Coturnix japonica: one gene and its partner. The protein of the gene in region 1 binds, or shares a complex with, the protein of each later gene. Links are inferred from orthologs where the notes say so. Each region holds a gene or a part of one and is shown in the gene's direction. Other genes may lie near its edges.

Region 1 (3,649 bases):
ATGGAGAAATTAAATTTGACAAGTGACTGTAGTTACACTAATGGAAAATAATTCTGAGGTGCCACCACTCCATGCTAACATAAACAGTGCTGGGGACTGTTAAGGGTAGGTCAATCCGTGTGTGGGTGCTATGCAGTCTGACAGCATCTGAGGCAGCTTGTCTAGCTCTAGTCAGTGGGCATAGGAAGGAGCTGGTAGAGCTGCATGGTGGTGATGTAATCTGGGAATACTAAGGGGAAGATCTGTCTCTTGAGCAGAGATAGGAGTTGGTTCAGTAAGTGATGGAGAAGACAAATGACAAAAAAAAAGAGCTATTTCTTTTGGAAAAATAGTGCTGTTGTGTGTTACGAATGTGTGTACAGAATATAACAGGTGCCATTGCTGTTACAGATATTTGGAGGCTGGCACTTCTATATACAGGCATACAAAGCGTTGAAGCACAGAACTGCAAACATGGATGTGCTCATTGTTCTGGCAACCTCCATTGCGTTCGTCTACTCATTTGTTATTCTTCTAGTTGCAATGGCTGAGAAAGCAAAAGTAAACCCTGTGACTTTCTTTGACACACCTCCCATGCTGCTGGCGTTCATCTCATTGGGCCGGTGGCTGGAGCACGTTGCAAAGGTAAGGGAAGTAGAAGTACTTGTGTTGGGCAGAAAAGAGCATGGCAGCTGTATTTCAGATGGCTCTCAGTAGTGATGGTGGAAGGCTGAAGTTTTGTGCTGCCTACAGTACAGAGTAAACATTTGTTCTTGGTGTCACTGAATGGAAAACGTTGTATCTACAAGCTTTAAGACACTGAATATGATTTCAGAATGGTGCATACCTTAAAAAAATCAGCTGCAAAAGCTTTGTTATATTTTTTTAACCTTTTGTTGTTGTTGCTATAAAATCATTTTCAATACCTAAACCAGTAAAAACTATGAAATAATACAAATCCATGTTCAGAAAGTATTTTCTTAACAGAGTAAATTGCAGCATATGAAGTTGTCGTTTACCCTACGATTTTTTTGCAATACATAGTCAGAAAAATATGAAAATTATTATTCTAGGGTAAAACATCAGAAGCACTGGCAAGACTAATTTCATTACAAGCTACTGAAGCAACTATTGTTACCTTGGGCCCTGATAACATTCTCTTAAGGTATCTTCATCATTTGCATTTTCTATCATTCCATTTTTGTTGATAATACATGAAATTCACAGTCAGATGTTATAATTCTGTAGAACTATGAAGAAAATAACTTCAGATTTGTATTTGAAAATGTTAAAATGCAGAAAAGTAAACACTACTGCAGTTTGTTTTATTGCAGTCTCACTCATTTTTGCTTGTAAGCAAATAAGTGGATTTTCTCAGCTGAAAAGTAAATTAACATACAATAGGTTTAGTGCTCTATAAAACAGCCTTTGTTTAAGTTAACAGTGTCATCCAGTGGAATTATGCTTTATGTTTAGTGCTTTTGCCTGGTTAACTTCAGTTAACAATCTCTTGTTTAACAAACTCTCCAGTGAAGAGCAAGTTGATGTTGAGCTGGTTCAGCGAGGTGACATTGTCAAAGTGGTGCCGGGAGGCAAATTCCCAGTGGATGGTCGTGTTATTGAGGGACACTCTATGGTGGATGAATCTCTTATCACAGGTGAGCATCTGTTTCGTTTGCAAGCGTAAGCATGTTTTTGTTTTCTTTTAAATGAATCTGAAGAATAAAAGTTGAAATTTTTTTTTAATAAAAGAGTTGGTAGTCATGATCAGAAATAACATTGCTGCAAAAGCTCCAACAGTTATCTCTTGTTGACCTTTCTTTAGGTGAAGCGATGCCTGTGACTAAAAAGCCTGGCAACACAGTGATTGCTGGTTCCATTAATCAGAATGGATCACTGCTGATTTCAGCAACCCACGTTGGAGCTGACACAACTCTCTCACAGATTGTTAAACTTGTGGAGGAGGCCCAGACCTCAAAGGTAGAGTATTATCAACCTAAGAGTTTGGGTTTTGTTGTAGCTGGGCATCAGCACACCAAATCACTTGCAAAACGATTAGGATTGTTTAGATATGAATTGCAGCTGGACCGTGAATTTTGGTTTTGTTTGTTTTATTTTACTGAATGGGAACTTTGATATGATCCACTGATTCAAATCTCATCATCTTACAGAGTAAATAATGTAATTACAAAGCGTGGTTTGCCTAATGTGCTGAGATTTGTTTATGATTATGGTTATGTCTGAAGTCATACAAGACAGCATGGTGTTGATGGAGCTGACACTTGTTTTTTCTTCTTCCTAGGCTCCTATACAACAATTTGCAGACAAAATTAGCGGCTACTTTGTTCCTTTTATTGTGGTTGTCTCTGTGGTTACCCTCTTTGCCTGGATTATAATTGGATTTGTGGATTTTGAAATAGTAGAAAAATATTTTCTGGTAAGTCAATCTCCTTAAACGATTTCTTCAATATTTCACATAAAATAAGCCTACAGATCTATTGGGCTGCAGCAGTCCCATTTTAGATTATTCTTGCAGACAGCTGTGGGCTGGGAATGCATGAAATTATTTTCATCCCTGTAATTTCTATCTGTTCTGTACTGTAACTTCCCTCTGACGTTTTCATGTACAGAATATTCAGTGATTAATCAACTCTTGGAATTTAGTTTTTAAAAACTAAATAGAAAAACTAAATTGGGAAAATTCAAGGTTTAGTGTTCGTGTGTCCCCTTCTTTGTGGGGAGAAAAATCCCTTGCATCATAGGCTCCAATTCTGCCTCTAGTTTTTTTTAGCATAGCTTTGTGTAAATTCAGCTTTAAAATCAGTGGAATTCATATCCCACGTGAATGCCAGAGGAGGATGAGAATCCTGATTTGTACATTGGGGTTGTTTAACTCTCAGGTCTTTTGCGGACTAGATTTCCAGCATTTCTATCTATTAGTTGCAGGAGAACAGTCTTCGTGTCTTTGTGGCATAAACTCTTGATGAAATATATTTTATCAACATTCAGAAGAGCTGTCGTAGAGTGTGGTCCCTTATTTAAGAAAATGTCTTATCAATAAAACAAGTCATGAGTATATGCTCTATATAACAAAGTTTAGATACTGGTAATGATTTTTGTAATTAATCTTAGCTATGGCATAATTTTTCCTGGGCATTCAGTTTTAATGTTTCATCTTGCATGTTTGCAATTTTTACTTCCTTCTTTTTACATCAAAGGCAATGTGTAGTTGAACACATCGTTTTCATTGCTGAATTTCATTTGTAAATAAAACAAATTTCTGTCACTAGGGTTACAATAAGAGCATTTCTACAGCTGAAGTGATAATCCGCTTCGCGTTCCAAGCCTCTATCACAGTCTTGTGTATTGCGTGCCCCTGTTCCCTGGGATTAGCAACCCCAACGGCTGTGATGGTTGGTACTGGAGTAGGAGCTCAGAATGGCATACTGATCAAAGGAGGAGAGCCATTAGAGATGGCACATAAGGTAAGAAATGTGGGTTGTAAGAAATGTAGCGGTAGCATTTTGCCAGTTCCTGCCTGAGCAGATTTCTGTGTTTTTTAAGTAGCATATTAGAATGTTTGATTAAAAATGAAGTTTTCTAAGCTAGCTGTACATGAAAGCTTTTTTCATTGAACATGTCTTCCTGTTTTGCTGCAGGTAAATGTGGT
Region 2 (3,749 bases), on another chromosome or scaffold:
GGGGATAGGGGGCAGCGCTGAGGGGGATGGAAATGGGATCGCCCCGGTGCACGCAGCCCTCCGCCATCCCCACGAGGCCGCGGCCCCGCTCCCAGCCCGGCCCTGCCCCCCTCACCTGCGGGCGGAGCGGGACGGCAGCGGGAGGCGTCGCAGGAGCACAGGCCTGCCCGGCGGACGACAAGCACCTCACGCAACGGCGTGCTCTGCCGCCGGCTACATATATCCGGCGCGCAGCCTAACCCGGCGGGAGGCTGCTCCACCAATCACACAGCGCCGCTCTCCTTCATTCGGACGCTGATTGGTTCGGAGAGGGGAAAGGAGGCGGGATGATAAATGAATGGCAGCTCACTCTATCAACCACGCGGCCTGGCTGCGCGGAGCGGGGAGATTGACAGACAGCGATCCGAACCAATAGGAGGCGAAGCTCTCGGTGCTGAGGCGGGGCTAGACCTAACGGTAGCCAATAGGACGACGCTGACCGCGAGACCAGGCGCGAAAGGCGGGGCAGGCGTGACGCCGTAGTGTGGTTGAAGCGCACAGCAGCGCCCTTGAGAAGGTGCTGGTAAACCCCGTTAGAGATGGGGGCGGGACCTATCCAATCCTATCCAATGGGAGGGCGCGACGGGCTATGATGGACAGGCAGGGCCTTAAAGGGACAGTCACCCCGCACGAGGGGCGGCATTGAGTGCCCCGTACCACCCCCTGCTGGGGGGCAGCGCTGGGACGGGCATTGGTTATCACTAAGAGCAGGCTGCGAGATCTCCAATGGGCCTCACTAGGTCGCCTCTGACCCCCTGAGCCTCATCTGAACAACACATAGTGCAGGTGTGGATGCTGAGGACAGCAGGATGGAGGAGCAGCAGGTAGCTGGCTGAGCAGGCTGTGTTTGTATCCCATCATATCTATGACATGAAGCACTATCAGATATATTGGACTGTCTCAGACTGAGTCCCTCCCCACCACCACATCCCAGCCCTGCCCACCCCCCTCCCTGTGTGCCCGGCTATTTATAGGGCTGCAGCACAATCTGCCAGCGCATCAATCACAGCTGTGGGGCTCAACGTCAGAGCAGTGACCCACAGCTCAAATAACCACTGCTGGGACCACGGCGGCATTGGGAGGAAAGGGAGCTCACGTTGTGATAGAGCAGCACAGCAGCCAGGTCCTGTGTGCAGCACAATGAATGTCTATGGGCTCTCAGTTGGCATCCCCCTGGGTGAGCAGAGCAAAGGCCTTCAGCCCTAATCCTGCTTTGCTGTGACCCATAGAGCTGCCATTCAGCCTCACCGATCAGGAAAACGGGAAGAGCAACATAACCAAGGGGCTGTTCTCAGAACAAAAACATCCTAAAACATACATCGTCCCTAAAAGGCCATTCAAACAGCTTTGCTCAGCCTTAAGACCACACCAAAAAGCCCCCAAACACCCGCAGCAAATGACTTGTCTCACTAAGAGCCGAACATTGAAGCTTCACGGGCAGCTCGTACCCTACCGAGCCTCCTCGGGCCCCGGGGGCGCTGTGCGGAGCTGAGCTCAGCGCCGCCCCTTCCTCCGAGCCGGGAACCGGGAGCCGGAGCCACGCCATGCCGGTGGGTGCGGGACGGGAGGGCGGCGGGGGGGACAGCGAAGGGCCGGGGGATGGAACCACCTTGAGCTTGTCAGAACATGAAGGAAATGCCAGTTCCGCATAGGAATGGTGATAAATGGTGATGCTGAGCGCTTTGGTTTTGCTCAGTTCCGCACTGATCCGCGCTGTGATGATAGTGGGGGGTTAAAGGTGGTTTGGAGTAAAAAGATGGAGGGGTTGAGGGTGGGAGACAGGGAGCAGCATTGATTTTCTTGTTTAAGGATATCAGGTGAAGGAGATAGGGCCTGTCCCGTACAGAAGGCTGAGCACAGTGGATAGCCTTAGGGCCACGCATGTGTGCACTGTGAGTACTGCGGGTAGTGGTCCTCAAGCTTATTTTCATGATGTTTTTATGAGTTTGGGGCATGATGATATGATATATGATAGGATAGGCATTGCAGAGCAAAGCAGCAGGCTTGCTCCTCCTGGGCTGTGCATACAATGGGTCCAGGAGAATCACAGAATCACAGAATGACCCGGGTTGGAAGGGACCTCAAGGATCATGTAGTTCCAACCCCCCTGCCTAGCAGGGCCAGGAGAACCCCCTGAGAGCTGTGCTGGCCCTGGAGGTGTCCTGATTCCAGTGCATGGTTGGAGCAGGCAGCCTCCAGAGGACCCTCCAGGTGGTGGTGAATGCTGCTGAACCCTCATCTGTCTTCTTGCAGAAACACGAGTTCTTTGTGGACATGACCTGCGAAGGCTGCTCCAATGCAGTCACCCGTGTCCTGCATAGACTGGGAGGTGAGTCGAGCTACAGGGTGTATTATGACTCTGGGGCCAGATGTCACTGCCCCAGGGTCCTCTGTTTTGAGCAGGAAGCAATGTGGGTAACAGCAGGAAGTGTCTGAGTGGAAACCTCTGCACCTTATCACTCTGCTTTGAGCTGCTGGTAGCTGATTGCTAGCAGGGCTGGCGTAACCCTTGGAGAAGAAACACGGGAAGGATAAAGTGCTGGGGATGCAGGAGGCTTCAGGCATCAGGTGGCTTTGTGCACCACCAGGGCCTCATCCTGAACCTGCCAGGAGCTGCACCCCCCTGCTCAGGATGGCTGGGAAGAAGAAGAGAAGGTGGATCTCCTGCCAGGCCACTGGTAGCTGCAGTGCTTCTCTGGATGTGTCATCAGCATCCAAATGCAGAACAGTCATGGTGAAGAGCTGCTGAGCAGAGGGTTTGGTGGTTGCTTGCACAGCCTGTTTTTTGTTCAACCTGGAAAATTATAACTTGTGTCTCCTCTGTGCTGAGAGCAGCAAGAGAGCAGGATCTGGCCTGCACTCACCAGTTATGAGGACTTTTGATCCTGCTTACCCATCCTCACCAAGTGGGAACAGCTCTCAGTCACCAAGCTGAAGGCTGTGAGAATTCTTCAGGACCCCATTGCCAGGCTGTGGTGATTCCAGTTCCTCTGTGTGTTGTTTTCAGCACCTCTGTCCTCCCATCACTCTTTGACGTGCTGGCCAAATACAGACTCATGGGATGGAGCAGTAGAGCTGCTAAAGCTATTACCTACCTTCATTATATGGTTGGGTAGAAGCTTCGTTGAGTTCTTCTCTCTGGCTTTAGAGTGGCTGACCTTTATTTACCAGTGGCATATCCACATGGAAGGTGTCTTGAGCTTCCTCCTGCTTACAGCTGCAAGGTGGTACTGCCACTGATAAAACCTGCTCTGACCCCATCTTAACCTCTATGCCATCTCCTTCATTAGTACTCATTCGTGCCAAACCTCAGCACAGAGTGAGCTGGCTGCAGATTACAGTGGTTGGTTTAAACTCTGCTAATTCTCATTAATGCTTGTGATTGTGCTAGTCTAATAAAGCTCCCATAATAAACCTATGGTGCCTAATGTACATATATAGGCAATCTGGATTCCTTTATACCAATGCTGGTGGGATCCTGCTCTGGTTGTGCTGGTCACAGAACAGAAGTTTGCTGACAAGAGGCATGTACAATTCACTTGGTGACACTGTGAGAGCACAAATGCATGAAAGTGACATTTTCCCTGCTTTTATACCATTTGATTGCTTCTAACTAAGTGTTTTTCCTTTCCTTCCAGGTGTCCAGTTTGATATTGACCTGCCCAACAAGAAGGTGTACATTGAGTCAGAGCACAATGTTGACACCCTAT

What was found. The genes of interacting proteins can lie anywhere in the genome.
Region 2: the proteins of ATP7A (region 1) and ATOX1 are in contact, whole or in part, in an NMR structure (PDB 2K1R), measured with the Homo sapiens proteins. The link is inferred for Coturnix japonica from reciprocal best matches to the Homo sapiens genes ATP7A and ATOX1. Residues at the interface, in NP_000043.4 of Homo sapiens: Cys19, Asn20, Ser21, Cys22, Trp24, Thr25, Gln29, Asp67, Asp68, Met69, Gly70, Phe71, Asp72; in NP_004036.1 of Homo sapiens: Thr11, Cys12, Gly13, Gly14, Cys15, Ala18, Arg21, Val22, Lys25, Lys57, Thr58, Gly59, Lys60.

The regions. Positions count from the first base shown.
Region 1 is NC_029519.1:12,219,310-12,222,958, forward strand, and holds part of ATP7A (copper-transporting ATPase 1), read left to right. Parts: intron 1-390; coding exon 391-624; intron 625-1,052; coding exon 1,053-1,144; intron 1,145-1,509; coding exon 1,510-1,637; intron 1,638-1,804; coding exon 1,805-1,959; intron 1,960-2,281; coding exon 2,282-2,416; intron 2,417-3,269; coding exon 3,270-3,464; intron 3,465-3,638; coding exon 3,639-3,649. UniProt on the Homo sapiens protein: ATP-driven copper (Cu(+)) ion pump that plays an important role in intracellular copper ion homeostasis.
Region 2 is NC_029528.1:5,159,351-5,163,099, reverse strand, and holds the start of ATOX1 (copper transport protein ATOX1), read left to right. Parts: upstream 1-1,457; 5' UTR 1,458-1,583; coding exon 1,584-1,589; intron 1,590-2,292; coding exon 2,293-2,368; intron 2,369-3,677; coding exon 3,678-3,749. UniProt on the Homo sapiens protein: Binds and deliver cytosolic copper to the copper ATPase proteins. May be important in cellular antioxidant defense.